3 linked regions of the Drosophila melanogaster genome follow. The protein of the gene in region 2 interacts with the protein of the main gene of each other region in a pairwise test. Each region holds a gene or a part of one and is shown on either strand. Other genes may lie near its edges.

What was found. Proteins that work in one complex are often made in the same cells at the same time.
Region 1: the proteins of CG8248 (region 2) and Ccdc114 interact in a two-hybrid assay, tested with the Drosophila melanogaster proteins (one large-scale study listed by BioGRID).
Region 3: the proteins of CG8248 (region 2) and TMEM216 interact in a two-hybrid assay, tested with the Drosophila melanogaster proteins (one large-scale study listed by BioGRID).

What each region holds. Positions count from the first base shown.
Region 1 is NT_033777.3:16,622,209-16,626,280, forward strand, and holds Ccdc114 (Coiled-coil domain containing protein 114), read right to left. Parts: upstream 2,510-4,072; 5' UTR 2,413-2,509; coding exon 2,188-2,412; intron 2,130-2,187; coding exon 1,834-2,129; intron 1,704-1,833; coding exon 1,195-1,703; intron 1,122-1,194; coding exon 947-1,121; intron 885-946; coding exon 668-884; 3' UTR 527-667; downstream 1-526. Other genes in the region: CG14893 (uncharacterized protein), read left to right, coding at 1-242, 303-390; Fas1 (fasciclin 1), read left to right, coding at 3,904-4,008.
Region 2 is NT_033778.4:8,918,435-8,922,267, forward strand, and holds CG8248 (uncharacterized protein), read right to left. Parts: upstream 1,935-3,833; 5' UTR 1,657-1,934; coding exon 1,090-1,656; intron 1,033-1,089; coding exon 916-1,032; 3' UTR 506-915; downstream 1-505. Other genes in the region: CG34219 (uncharacterized protein), read right to left, coding at 1-98, 158-380; Spt (spitting image), read right to left, coding at 2,073-2,122, 2,186-2,287, 2,351-3,073, 3,138-3,462, 3,519-3,833.
Region 3 is NT_033777.3:8,714,301-8,721,846, reverse strand, and holds TMEM216 (transmembrane protein 216), read right to left. Parts: upstream 5,605-7,546; 5' UTR 5,279-5,604; intron 4,952-5,278; 5' UTR 4,723-4,951; coding exon 4,506-4,722; intron 3,999-4,505; coding exon 3,805-3,998; 3' UTR 3,476-3,804; exon of another isoform or gene 3,391-3,475; intron 2,650-3,390; exon of another isoform or gene 2,515-2,649; coding exon of another isoform or gene 2,259-2,514; intron 2,044-2,258; coding exon of another isoform or gene 1,850-2,043; 3' UTR 527-1,849; downstream 1-526. Other genes in the region: CG8136 (uncharacterized protein), read right to left, coding at 1-224, 286-307; CG11760 (uncharacterized protein), read right to left, coding at 1,850-2,043, 2,259-2,514; Cks85A (Cyclin-dependent kinase subunit 85A), read left to right, coding at 6,050-6,108, 6,179-6,410; CG8112 (uncharacterized protein), read right to left, coding at 6,671-7,546.

The sequences.
Region 1 (4,072 bases), on a different chromosome or scaffold from region 2:
ATACATGCCAACATTGCGGTACTAGAGCACTTTATGAACAACAGTTGGCACTTTGAGACGAAAAGCACGGATCGGCTGAGAGTGATGATGTCTCCGGAGGATCGGCGATTGTACAACTTCGATATGGAGACTTTGGACTGGAAAGAGTACTTCCGGAAGGCCCTCTTCGGCATGCGACTTTACCTGACCAAGGAACCTCCAACGCAGGAATCTCTTGAACAGGGTCGGCGACTCTTTTATCGGTATGTTCTTGTGGAAAGATGTTCTATATTTGCATAAAATGATCTCATATACATTATTAGATTGAAGATCCTGCACTACAGCTTTGTGACCCTACTCTGTGTCATAGCTGGCTTCTTATTGTGGACGCTTGTCAGGTTATTTATTTAATCTAATGGCCTCAATCAGAACTCGAACTATTAAAAACCTTGGGTGTTCATTGAATAGACTGTAGTTTATAGGTTTAAGCAATAAACGGACAGTTTAAATTAAACAAATAAGATCGAATTTGAATCGTCCAATCGGATTTCCATTTAACTAGCTTGTTGTAAACTTCGGCAGCATGTATTTCATATATTTATAAGATTAGGATATAAGTTTTATCGGTATGTGTAGATACTTTGGTTATCATTTAATATTTTGGAGAAAAATGAATGCCTACTAATTCTTAGTTTTTAGTTTTCGCCGATTCCCGTATGTTGAATTTGGGAACACGATCCTTTCGGGCCAGTATTTTGTTGGAGTTATCCTCGATATTGATGGCGCTGATGATCAGGTTGACCCGGCGTTCAATGACGCCAATGAAAAGCTTCACATTGTGAACTGTCAAAAAGGTTTTGGTACTGAGCACATTAAGGATAGGAGCATCGTCACAGGCCAATTGTCTAAAATTAAAATGGAATTTGGTAGACAGTCAATAGTAAGGATATATACTCGCAGATTGCACCTGAATATATCCTCGATGCCCTTGAGAAGCTGTTCTAATCTGATGCTCAGGGTTCGCTTCCTTTCTCTGGTCTCCTCCGCCAGCTGCTCGATCCGCTCCTTCTCGGCATTTAGATAGTCAAGTGCCTCGGTCTTAAGCTTCAACTCCTTCTCGGTCTGCTCCGATTTCTGGCGCTCTGTTTGGATTATTATGTACAAATTTTAGTATAAAGACTAGTCTATAGCCTAATTCAGAATCCAACAACACACCTATTTCATCTTGGAGCTCCTGAGTGGAATCGTTGAGTACTTCAACCTCGTGACTCAGTTCGTTTACATAGTTGAAAAGGGCAAAGTTCTCGTCCTCCTGACGCTTGAACTGGGCCACCAGTCGGTCCGCGTCCTCCTCGCCGTAGAGCAACTTGATCTTCTCGATGATCTCCTTGTACTCCAGAAGCTGCCTCTCGTAGGTCTCCTTCTGACTCTGCTTCTTGTCCAGCTCGCGCTGCTCCAGCTCCGGATTGAGGCGCTTTTGTCCCTTGATGTCGAAGAACTTCTGCAACTTGGCGTCGTGCTCCAGGCGGCGCTGCATCTCGCGCATCTCCTGGATGTGCATTACCTTGTCGTTCTCGTTGCGATCCTTTAGGACGGTCAGCTTGTTGCACAGCTCTTCTCTCTGGTCGAAAGCCAGTGTCGACTGGTCTATGAGATCCATGATGAACTTCTTGCCCTCGTTAAACTGGGTTACCATCGACTGCCACATGTCATTGAAGTTTGCCCTGGAGTGGAGTCGAAACGCATTAGCTCAATTCGGTATAAAAACCTAATAATATGGAGAGCACCTAGTTGACTTTTCATAAACCTAGTGTGTATTTTATAGATTGTATATATCTAGCGAGAAATGCTCACCGATCCTGCAACATGTGGTTTATGGCGTCCCTCATCTTGCTGTTTTCAGTGAGCACATCGCTGCATTTTTTGTTGACGACATCCAGGCGGTTCTCCAACTTGACCACGCTCTTCTGCACCTTGCAGATGGTGTCCTTGTAGCAGTTGTCGGGCACTTCGTTGCGCCGCAGGGCATCAATCTCCTTTTCCATTTTCCGGATGTGGCCCTCCAGTTCCCAGAGATTGGTTCGCTCATTCTGGAGCACCCTCTGCAAATCCGCCTGCTGTTCCTGCAAAGTGCCCAGGTGCTTCTCTCTCTGAAACCGATGTAAACCTTTTATATGTGGCTGACTAGTCCATTAAGTGGATATCTACATTGGTGTTCTTTCGCGCATGAGTACCACCTTCTAGAGTCTTGATCTCCTCCTTCAGCTTCTGGTGCTCCACTTGCAGTACGTTGATCATGTGATTCTGCTTCTTCAGGCGCTTGGCCTTCTCCTCGAGGAGACCCCGAAGGTCCAGCTGGAGACCCCGATGCTGGCGTTGCAGCCTCTGCAGCTCGGCAGTTGCCAACTGATCCAGCTCGCTTTGGTCAGTCATCGTTATTGGCTTTCTGAATTCGGTCTTTGCAATGGTATTGTCAAAACTGATAATGATATTAATTTGATTTCAATAGCAAACAAGCGTTGCTGGTGGCAAGTTGCTTAGTAACGGCGTGGTTTATCGAAGACTTTTACCATTTACTTAAAGTAAGAAGAACCAAATAGGTACACTGCTTGTTAAAATTCAATGTTATCTCCTTAGAAAAGTAAAAAAATAAGTGCTTGAAAATTATAACCGGTTCAATTTGGAATAAAATCTTTCAAACAGTAGAGACTCTGCTTAGCGGAGTTATCCACCGCATTCTGTCGTTGCCACATTTTGCGAAACGGTTAAAATGATTATTTATGCTTTTAAACGAAAAATGAGAAAATTTAAAGCAGTCTTCTTGTAATAATAATAAGATTGGATAAACAGACATTATTATAAATCTGACACAGAAGAGCAACGCAGCGCTCGATTTGTACTAATATTTTACCTCTAACAAGATTCGGAAAAGCATAAAAAGCACATAAATAAGAGTCACCGCCAAAGACATGCACAAATAAATATAAATGTTAAGCGATTTATTAACAGTGCACAGTGTTGCGATTTGAAACATCGACAGCTATCGATAACACTCGTTATCGTCACCACACGCTCGGCTTAAACCTGTTCTCCGCTTTTCGTTTTAATTCGAAAAAAACGTTCGAGCGTGGCGCACGTTGCGATTCCTCCGACTGGTACTTGCTCCCCTTATATTGAAACTCTGTGGAAAATCTATACTGTGCATAGGGCATAACTCTAAAATAGCTGCACGGCCCATTTCGCTGCCCTTGCTATTGATTTACCACCGCGCTGCGTTCGTTTGTGTGTGCTACTTAAAGAATTTGTGTGTTTTCCAAGTTTGGTCCGTGGACATTGCATAATTTCTGCGGCGGCCGTTAATGTTAATTCCTGCAGCCCGAGTTTCCGAGAATTACGCAGAATAAAGACCAGAGAGAAAACTATAAAATCGAAAACAGAAAAAAGTGCCGCAGCAGCGAAATGCAAAGGCGCATAATAATTAAACACACAGCGACGGAATGAAGAAAAAATAATACACAATAAGCGCAGCTTTGTTTCTAGTTAAATTGCGTTTGTGTTGTGCTTGCCGATTCCTCGGTGGTCCGTTTTTCGCTTGTTGTTCTATGTGACATAACGGAACTCTGGGCAAAAGCGAACAGGAAGCAGCGATAACCTTGCAAAAACAAAGAAAATACCAAGGAGGACAAAAAGCATGCCAAGCATATATCTGTGAAATAATATTTTCTTTTCCGAGGAAATGCTGTTTGTCGTCGGCTAACTGTTGTTTGCCTTTGAATTGCAGATCTTAATCGTAGAGCAGCACTCACACCAGCACACGCCCCCCGCAAAACAGCACACACAGCCACACTCACAAACGACGTACACTGCCAGCGCATAAACAAGTGCTGTTGTGGTTGTTGTTGCTGCTGCTGCTCGTCCGCTAAAATGCTGAACGCTGCAGCGCTGCTTTTGGCGCTGCTCTGCGCCGCGAACGCAGCCGCCGCCGCCGATTTGGCGGACAAATTGCGCGATGATTCGGAACTCTCTCAGGTGAGTCAGAAGAAGAAGAAGAAGCGAATAACGAGAACGTGGAGGATGAGGAGGTGAAAGGAGG
Region 2 (3,833 bases):
GCCGCGCCTGGCCATTTCCGGAGGATGTGGACTCGATACGTGCACCGTTTGATAGTTAATGCTGATCGGAACCGAGGAGCGACGGTTAAGACGAGGCTCTAGAGAAGAAAGTAGTTGGTCTTATGGGACGTGTCACTTTGTTGTGGGGACTCTTTACCGAAACGGGCTTCTCCGGATCCCGGCTTATGCGGATGCTGCTGACTGGGTCGGCTGGCCAAAGGAGATACCACCCTGTAGTGATACTCCTGAACCAGCGGAACGGACCTGGTGAAGCCTCCCTCATCGTTTAGCGTGTACTTGAAGCGATCCACAGATACGGAACGCTCCTCGCTGATTATATGCTTGCGCCGGAAGATGGGGGACTCATCCACTTTTGGCATGCATTGGGGAAATGTAGAGCGGTCAGTTTGGGATTCGGGGTGAGAGAGGATCGCAGAGGATTGCGTAAAAGCCCAATCGAACGGAGGAAATGAAACGCAAGCTAACACGGCTACGTATGTAAATTGATCACAGGAAAGCACATAGTAATTGATTTATTTTAGGATTACGTACACTTAGGACAGTAATATACATTCGAGTATGTACAACCTTATATTCGGATTCAGTACAGTTTCACAGATAGGTGAAGAGGAGGTAAACAGTGGAGGTCGTTCAAAAACACAGATATCAAACGCATAATCGAGCCCGAAAAGTGCGATGTACAGATGTATAGATGTATAGAGATTGAGGACAGACGAGAGATACACAATACACAACAATACATTTTCCGAAAAAGTCAGAAAACTGGTGCTTTAGAGTAGAGAAGATTGGCTAGTTCAGTACATAGTGGTAGATACATTTAGATTTATAGGATAACAATTCACTTGATCCCTCGTTAACACGGTGTAATAGGCTAGGCACCTGGCCCCCAGCGAGCTAAAACTTTGGCAAAGATTTTGGTGAAATACCTTTTGATGACCGGCGATCCTGCTTGTGGATCTGGGCATAAGATTGCAGCGAGCACCGGCGCAGTCGCTTGTCCCCTTTGTTCTGCTGCCGAAGAAGGATTATTCACGTGGCAATAGGGAATGGAATGCGGGTTATCCTTACCGACTTGTAGTGCTGGTTGATGTCCGAGGCGGCCTTCAGAAGCAGATAGACAAACACAAGGGCGAACAGGTAAATAATGGGCTCCGCTGTGTTACTCTTCTTGCCAACTTCCTTCTTCTTGTGCCCCTCCGGGGACTTTATCAAACGACGAGGTTGCTTGCTGACCCCATTTCCAGTGCCGTTTTTGGTTCTCTTCGTGGGCCTGCCTTGGGATCTTCTTGAAACTGCCTGATTCCGATTGGATTCCTTTCCGAAAACGTCCAACCTCTGGCACGATGCATCTGGAGCGGCGACATCCAATTCGGCGTCGGCCATGGCTTCCGGCTGGGCATGGTGCAGGTCGAAGGCAGCCACGCCCGGCTTAAAATAGTGCCTGTAGTTGCGCTGCATCCCGGCTACCATGAGATACACAGTGCAGAGCACCACGAGGATCCCCAGCGGCACCACATGATGGTTATTTGTATCCGTGTCCCTACTCACGGCACTTGCTTTTCGGTGTTTGGGAGAACAAGGCGGTGGCCCAATCTCTTCGGACAGAGCAAATTTATCGCCGGCCAGAGATTTCATAGCCGAGTGCTTACTGTTTACCAAGCAATTACCGTGTGTATCTGTTGACTGCGAGTCCTGGCTGCCGCTCGTGGTGGAAAATCGATAGGGATTGCCCACACAGCTTCACATGTTGGGTTGAACGAGGGTGTCCAGTGCAATTGAAAGGTCAATCGACCGAGGGAGATGCGCTGACAAGTGTGCTATGTGTCTATATATTTATTGGAACCTATTGCTCTACTTTTACAACAGTCTAAACTGTTTCCGATGCGATACTCTTCGCCACCCGAGGAACATACATGTTTGTGTGTATGCCTGACCTGACCTATGACATTCAGGTGGCGACGTACGTTAAGTTTGAATTGCAAAATCTCTTAAATGGTATGAACTTAAACACTAAACTAAATAAAAAGTTATGTACAAATGGTTGAAATGCTTCAGCATTCAAAGTATCCATTGGACATTCCAGTGAGTTGGTCGAGTATATCTAAAAATATACGAAATTTAATGGAAAAACTTATAAAATAGGAAATGTAATCATTTTAGGTACCTGTGATTTGTAGATCCGTAGACTGATTACTCATGGAGGTGTATAGCTTTCTGCTTTCAGCTATATTCTGCCGCTTGAACATGACAGTCCGTAAACTTTCTCCTGAAAATAGCATTCAAAACATTGGTAACCTTACCAAATTTATCTAAACATCAGCCGACTTACTTCTCAGAACATTTCCATGGGGTTTTGCCTTATCCGATTTAATGTCCAAGGTATTTGTGGGTAGCTTGTTGTCCGTTCGTCTAGTTACTCTATTCCTACGCTCTGTGTCGTAGAGGATACTGCCGCTTCGGGCTGTTTTATAGCCAGTGAAATGGGTTTCGTCTTCATTTACCCCCTTGGTATCATCAGCTAAAAGGGGAGCCAGGGGAATAGGAAGTTCCTCCTCTTGTTTACCAGCTCCCAGGGAGCCGTGCAATTTGCGCAAGATCGTGCGCAAGATCTTGAAGCGCTTGAGGATTCTCTGCGGCTCCACCTGGGATGCGCACATCAAAATAGCCTTGCACTCGCGCAGTACCCGGATGAACTGCTGGTAGTACTCTTCCCCCAATCGGTCCTGCGTTTCGCTTAGACCCTTTCGGTTGACTTCCAGCTGAAAGTGCTCGACTAGCAGCAAAGAGATTTGAACCAAGTCCTCCAATCGCTGCTTATCGAAAAGCTTTTCCGTTGCACTTATCCCTGAGGTCAGTATCTCCAGGCAACAACCAACGAGGGCGCGGCTGTCGATGATCTCCTGAAGCGCTGCCTTGAACTTGGCCACCTCCTCGTTAAAGTGCTGCTCTAGGATGTCCGAGTGCAAATCGGAACCATGGGCCTGCAGTGAAGGTATCAGAGTGGTGTCCAGTGATTCAAAGGAGGCCAGACAGCTGCGCATTATGGTTTTCACTGAAAAGGAATTGGTACTGGAGTTAATTGCGTTTTTTTTTATAATTATATATAATTATTATACTTTTCAAGTTGGGCGCAAAGGAAATGGCAAAAATGCCTATCTGGGTGGCGCGATCTATGTTCACATCAAAGTCCGCTATGAACTCATCGGCCAGATCATCATTATCTGGGCTGTTCCTTAACAGCGCTCTAATTTTGTCTACCGAAAACTTCTCGAAGTCCAGGAAGCATGTGAATACCAAGCGCAAAAGCGCATCGTTGATAAAGTCCTCCAATTGGTAAATTGCCTGTTCCATGGTCATGGCCCGCAGCTTAAGGGTGGACAGGTAGTTGGCACTGAATGACTCCTTGCACTCCTCCTGAAAGGCATTGCACTCCCGGATGACCTAGAGCACAAATGAGGGGAATAAATAAGGGGATACTGCAGAAGATGTACACCCACCTTTTGGCACAAGGCACTGAGAGCCCTCTTGTCCTGAGACAAAGCCACATTGGCGAATCCCAGAGATTGACCCAAGATCAAATCAATGTTGGCGCGCAACTTCTGGCTGAGTGGAAGGACTTCCTTGGGAGTCTTTGGACAGTTGGAGGTATCGGTGTTTTCCTCACTGTGCGAGGTGAACTGCGCCAAACAATCCAATGCGCCATCCACCAGCTTAAGGAACGAGCGCTCCGGAGCTACTGCTTCGGAACTCGATTCTTCGCTGTAAAGATGCATGAGGCGCTTCAGGCACCAGCGAATGCGGTCCAGGAAGTA
Region 3 (7,546 bases), on a different chromosome or scaffold from region 2:
TTGTTCGTTGGTGGCGCTCTTTGTTTCCAACTCTTGCGCTGGCAGCTGGCAATTTTCGGAGGTAGTGTGTCCCTTGGTGGGCACATCGGTCACCTGACTTCGGTTTAGGCTGCGCGAAGGAAGCCGCCGATAATTGACCAAGGAGTCGAATGTCTCCTCCTCCTCGTTGAGCTTCCACATGACGCGGCGACTGCTACTAGACATTGAACGTCCAAACCCCTCTTCTGGAGCAAAGAACACACATAGTTTTAACAACTTAAGGATGCCACACTCGGCTTGACTCACCCGACTTGTGGTTTTTATCCATGGAGATGGCTTGAGTTTTCCTCTGACAAATTAACTTCGCCACTGGCCTGCAGCAGTTCTGGTTTTGAATTTACAGAGCTTACAAATTTGGGAGGCCTGTCTGTGTGTAGCTGAATAATATCTGAAATTTTGGAGGCACAAAACGAAATACACCTATCATACTCGAAAAGATCTTATTGAACCCACGGCCTACTAATAACAGATTCCTTTTTCTTTTTTTCGATCTTTAATATTCATTTTCATCGAGTGTATATGTTCTTTTAAATATTGTTGTCGTTATTTTATTAACTATCCGTTTTACACGCGCTTTAAAAGTATGTTAACATTTTGCGTTTAACGAAATGACATAAATATTATACAGGTAAATTATTCAACGTAGGATGTGGCTTTGGTTTTCTTTCAGCTTCTAGCTTCCAGCTGTTTGGTTTCAGTAAAATTATTTCTTTTGTTTTAAAAGCATGAGATTTGTGGACTGTTGAGAGTTTTTGTTATCGATTTGTGCGTTATTTTGCTATGAAACCACACAAAGGTCTTATCAAATTATTACACAATCTTCGGTCTAGCTTAGAAAATGTTTGTGAACATTAGTGACTAGCATTGGAGGAGCTGCAATCCTCGGATCCTATCAGGCGGGGATAATTGAGCGTGATTTAAAGGGCGTTTCGAGTTGCCAATAGGCTGAATTGGGGAGAAGTGTAATGGAGGGTTTTCGCCTAGTTTTTAACACTCTATAAATGTTTTATATGATTTAGCTAATTTGTTGTTCGCTTTCTAGTAAACGGTTGCCCGCTCGGGTTTGCATTGTTTTTAGTGACGTCTTGAAAATGTTATTTACGCTATTTGCTAGGTTTATATAAAGTAGTTTCATTAAAGTACACACATGGTCTAGACTTTTAACTGGGCTTAATTATGTTGTTCTCCGCCTTTTGAATATTGGTATGAACTACTAAACGCTGACTCTTAGTGGTAATGAATTTTTTTAATGGCCTTTCGGCCATTTGTTTTTCATGATTTTGATGCTGACTAGATTTTGTGAGACATTCCACTGATTTTTTTACAATTCTTTTTAAGATTCGAGCTATCTGTGAACTATTATAAATTATTATTTCCACACATCAAATTTGTTTTTCGGCTGTTTTTCGATATTTTTCTTTTTACAAAAAAATTTTCATCTTAAAATTGTGAAAATTATTCAAGTTTTAGGTTTTGCTTGTTGTCTTATATTGGTTCCAATTGATGCTTAAATGTTAACAATTTTTGTATATAAAACCGTTAAATATATGTATATAAGAGTGTGTGTATGTTATCATAAACCTTACTATACATAATTATTAATATGCTACATATGTGTTTTGTTTTGTTTTTTTTTTCTTTCTGTTTGGTTTCTCTTCTCCACGGCCATGAGCAATTCAGCTGCCTACTGCTTTTCAAATTCATTAAATTTCCTTACACCGCATATTATCCTTTTTCGATCTTATAGATTGCTAAACTTTCGCATGTATATTTGCTGCTAGTTGGCTGTTGGATGTTTCTGTCTATATGGCTAATCATAAGTTACTGGACGACACAGCGAGAAAACGAAGACGATGGCATACCACACCTCGGTCAGGTAAAGGGCGATCTGCAGCGTGCACAGGCAGTACTCCAGGCGCAGTCGGTAGGTCTGGAGCAGCAGTAGATAGGAGACGCCCACAAAGCAGGGGGCGGTCATGAAGACCGACAGTATGGCCGACCAGCCTGTGATAGAAAAGCAGAAGAGTTCATTAGAATCTGATTGTAAAAGCCATAGATACTATTCTATTACAATTATAAATAAGGATGATAATGAGTTAATTAGTATTTCTTAAGTCTAATGGTTTGGTTTGATTAAACGATTGATAACGCCATTGAGGATGATTCTATTGTTTTAGAATATCCTATAATTAGACCAGCCAGCAGGCGGGAGCTTCTACCTCGATCGGCCAGCGAACTCATGCGCCCCATTATCAATCGGATCGTCTCAAAGACAATGAAGCTAATCATCACCCCCGTGTCCAGGGCTAGAGTATGTCCCGTGTAGCTGAGATTGATGGCCTTCAGGAGGCCCATGGCCATCTCGCAACAGGCGAACATGCCAAAGTAGAACGAGTTGAGGTAGATCAACACCTCGTAGTTCATGCTGGGATTTGGCTTCTTCGGCACGAGCGGTGGCGGACGCTTGGGCGGCATCTTTCTGCCGGCTTAGCACCTCCTTCTGCTGCTTCTCCTGTTACCCCTCGATGTCTACGGCAAATTGGACCGATTTGATCTCCCGGATCGCTCACACGGCGGCGTTGCTCACGTTGGGCACTGTATTTATAGACTGACCATAATAATAACGCGAACCTGCCGTGCTTGGCCAATGCAGCGGCAGCGGCATCGACATCGGCGGTCTCACGGTTTGTCGCTGCGAAATGTGCTGTTTATTTGAATAATGTGCTGCTGGTCGTTGTCGCCTTTTATTTGTTTTCTCTGCTCGCTGTTTGGGTCAGCATTGGCCGGCAGATCGCCTGCCTAGAAATGTGGGGGAGAATGATTTCACTGGCGGCTAGTTGGGGGGAAAAAACTACTAAAAACTCCCTGGGCGTTATGCTCTACAGGGCCCAGGGCCATTAAATGGTTACCTTGAAATTCAGGATAGGTTTAGGGTGAATATATGAAAACCATTGTTGGAATTTTAATTATTTTTAAAAACTCAAAGCGTTATGCCTCGCTAAAGTCCCGTGAATCTCTCTCCTGTGAATCGTACAGGGCATGTTCACTAGACCAAAGACCAAACGGAGAGCCCTCTCATCTTGGCCATTACAGTCAGGCTAACTTGCCCGCAGTGGGCCGTGTATATTACATTCAAATTAGAAGTGTACATTGCACCTAGGGGACAGCAGCGGTGTTGCACGAGCCGTGCAGTTCGCATATAATTTTAGACCATCAGAGCCGTATAAAAATACCAGAACCGAGCGGGTCCGAGGAGCAACTGCGCCAGCAGGGAGGCAACGCCACAAAGGCCGGGCAAAAGAATGCAACCAAGAAATGCAAATTAAATGCAGCTTTGCTTTTGATAGAATCGGACGCGTCGTGTTTCGCTGCGATGTGATTTCCGCGGGCGCGAATGATCTGTGCGGATTATATAAGTTTATAAAGGTTCACGTACCTTGTTGAAAGTCCTCCTCAACTGCCAGCCATTGGGTATGTTATCGGGTTGTCTTGGCACGGATTCCTAGGAGGTCTAGTAGGATCTAGATTTTTTGTTTTGTTTTTATGTGCGGTGGCTTAGTGTGCATTTAAGTGGCTTAGTTTTGAGGCCTTGGCGAATCGTTTGATGTGAAATTGCCAGAGGAAAGTGTTTCGTCTTCGTCGTAGTCGTCGCTCGGCTGTGGATGCTTCTACTCCTTCTCCTCCAGGTGGGAGTGTTAGTGCTGGCTTGGTCTTGATCTCGATCTTGGTCGTTGACGTGGCGGCGGCAACGCGGCTTATCAACTGCTAGGTGTATGTGACGGGGCGACACATTGTACAAATGAATATGCTGGCGTAGACTAGTTCAGCACCTTGTAGGGTGATCATTAAGGCACTCAGAATAATTTCGAGTTTGAGAACAAAGGTTTGAAAACAACACAAGTAGATAACAATAGCAAGACTGGGCAGTGTTAATATTACGGATGCGGTTGCTTGCCAGCCTGCAAAGAGAGAAAAACAAGGAAAATGTTAGCTACAGATGCACGGAAAATCGTATAGTTCGTCTACTTGTTTATAATTAAGTGTATTCGATTGAAAGTGATTCAGTGTTTTAAAGTATTATACTAATAATTTCATGTTTACACATTGCGATAATTAATATTAACAGCTCCAATTGCTTTTCCAATAACTCATTTCGATGATTCGCTTTGATAGATTTCCTTTGCATATTGCTTAATGTGCCAGAAGGGCGCCTTTCCCCTGCCACCATAAAACGCGTGTTTTCATCCGGGGTGATGACCATAATTACGCATACGCCGAGTGGGCTACATCATACATATATGTATGTATGCCCGTCCAAACGTTTATGGGTTATGGCCCCGGAGGTAGGGGGATGGCATGAAATGGGCATTGTGACCGGGCAAACAAATAATTTCGCCATGTCATCATCGCTGCCGGTGGACTTTTCCCACCCTTGCAGTAACATGGGGATCATGGGGATTACTCACCACGATCGCTTAGACTGCTCTTCCGCCCGAAGACAATGCGCACGGTCTCGATGATGCACAGTGAGAGCAGGATGCTGGCCTCCCGGGACAACGCGTTCTCGCCGTAGTTTAGATTAATCGCCTTAAGAACGCCCACGCCCACTTCGAAGGCGGCGTACATGCCAAAGTAGAACGAGTTCAGATACATAAGTATCTCATAGATGAGGCTGGCGTTCATGGTGCCCGCTACTGCGGAAACGAGTCCGTAACCGTTGCCGTATCCGTGTCCTCCTGCGTGGCGACCAGTTCCTCAAGGCGGCAGGTGCGTCGCCTCTAAATGATTGGATGTCACCTGGGCAGTTTGGAGCAGCTCCTCCCGCTTTTCCACTGGCAGCAGCAGGTGTTTCGGCTTCTCTACGCCAGCATTGGGACCTTTGGGCGGTACGTGGTGAGTGATACCTGCTGGACTGAAAAATATTTGCTAATTGCGGTCTGCTCGTATTTACCAATGCGCGCATACATACAGTCAAACTTCCTCAACTAGAACTTCATAAAATCAATCGAATTTATAGGTGGTTTTGCTGTGCCTATGTATCTACATATGTACATTGTATGCATTTATTTACTAGCATACCGTAACGGTAAATTCATTAAGCGACAATAGGGAGTACATATACATAAAGGTTTTAGGTTCTTAGAACCCATTTTCTTCATCACTAAAGGACACTTTTTATTGTAGTAGTAAAGTCGTATCTACTTATGGAAGTTTGACTGTATTTACGTATCGTCCTCACCTCTTCCACTGCTTTTTCTTCTTGTTCCCGTTCTACTTCGCCTTTCCTCTTCTTCTAGCTGCTCCACCGTTACTGTCTAAAGTCCCGTTGTCATGGGAGTAAGTGGATGTTATGTTATGTATATGAAATGCACGCAGGCGACAACTCTATGCTAATATTAAGTACATGCGTTCACGTTTATTTATACGCGTTGTTGTGCGTTGTTGTTGCCCGCTGGCCTGGCTGGTTGTTGTTGTTGTTGGTTTGTTGGCAAGAGACGAGGGGCTTATATAAAAAGGAAAGGAACCTCAAACGCACATGCACAAATGTGGCCATGGGCGAGTAACGGAGAAATTGCCGATTGCATTTGGAAAATGTGCGAGCCTGCGAGTTCCGGTCACACTGGAAATCACATATTATCCAATTGAGTTTTTCATTCGCTAAATATGTTAACATTTTCTAACAGCATCTTTTTACAAAGTACTCGTTTTTTTAACAAAATGGCTTTAAAATGGCTTTAAACATTGCAAAAATATTGTTATACAGAAAAAAGTTTATGTTCAATATATTAAAGCCCGCTAAGATCGTGCCATTAAAAACAGTACATTTGAGTTTACCGCCAAAGGTGCTGTTAACTGGACAGCTGATAACCAAATCGATAACTTTATGTTCGATACGTGCAGCGATAACAATAGTATTTAGAATCGAATCAGTTGTGGCATATCTATCTGAATTTATTGACCTATTTTGGTAAAATTGCTTAATTTACCTCAGGTTTTCTGGCTTTTCGCAATGCCGGCCGATCAAATTCAATACTCAGAGAAGTACTTCGACGACAACTTTGAATACAGGTACGTTCAACTTGCGTTTCAGCATCCGTGAACTGTTTGTTTACACACAAACCACTTTCCCTCCCTGCAGGCATGTTATCTTGCCACCGGATTTGGCCAAACATGTGCCGAAGGCTCATCTGATGACCGAGACGGAGTGGCGCAACCTGGGCGTGCAGCAGAGCCCCGGCTGGGTGCACTACATGGTCCACGCGCCGGAGCCGCATGTGATTCTATTCCGACGCAAACGCATTCCGGCAGAGGACGCTCCACAGGTGGCAGCCGCTAATGCGGCTCAGGCCATCGCGAATCTCTGCGGTTAGGCGGAGGATGCCATGCCGCCGAGGAATGCTCTTCCAAGGACGCACTCGTCAATGCTCACGTAGTATTTCATAAGTTAGCATCAGGCAGCCTGATGTAAAATAAGAAACCATAGCTTTAGGGTTCAGCTGGGAAGTTCAAAGACACGAAACGAACTGAAGACATCGTTTCTGTTAATTTCATTAAGTTTATTTACCTAAAATACAAATCGAAGCGTACGCCCTGTGTACAGACAGTTTAAAAGTAGTGTTTAACTAATTGACTAATTGTAGCAGCGCCATACCGCCGGCAGCAGGCGATACGTCCAACTCTCGTTGCTTAGGTTGCAGTTCTTTAGGGCGTAATGCTCCATGGCGTATAGTGAGATCAGCGTGGCATTTCCCAGGATCAGAGAGAACCACAGAAAGATGTTGCCCATCACTTTTGGAGCACTCCGCATTAGGAATACCAAGGCAACACCCACGACCCCAAAGAAGAAGAACATCACTGGGAAGAACATTTGCAGGGCAAAGCCGAGAACCTGCTCATGGACCACAGCGGAGATCATGAACACTGCCAGCGAGGCGGCCACCTTGGAACCTCGGAACACATGAGTGTACATATCCTTGTACACGTACTCGTACAGCCAGTCGTGCACGACGACATTCCAGTTTCTGTAGTAGCCATCGTAAGTGTGCGACGTCCACCAGTCCTTGTAGAACATTCGATCACCGAAGCGTAGCAGCTCCGACGTGAAGTTCAGCCACGAGTGCAGGATTAGGTAGAAGCCGCACAGAAAGATCACCGCGCTGGGCAGCATCATGCCGAACAGCTTGAGGATCAGCTGGGAGGGTCCCATTGGTTCCAGTCCGTACTGTCCGAAGTGCTCGTGGATGTGCCGCTCATGGATGAACGCGTACAGGAAGGCTATGGCCACCACCTCCAACAGTCGATTCAGGGCAAACTTCCAGCGGATGTGGGAGGTGCGCGGGTAGCTGTCTCGGTAGATAAGCGTGGGTGCAAACAAAAAGTACGTGTAACAGCTCAGCGGCGGCACAAAGGGTCGCTCACTGCCTTCTTTCTCCTCCTCCGCATCTTCCTTCTTGGCCTTGCCATTCAGAACGCGCTCAGCATTGTACCTCACAAAGGCGTGCATCTT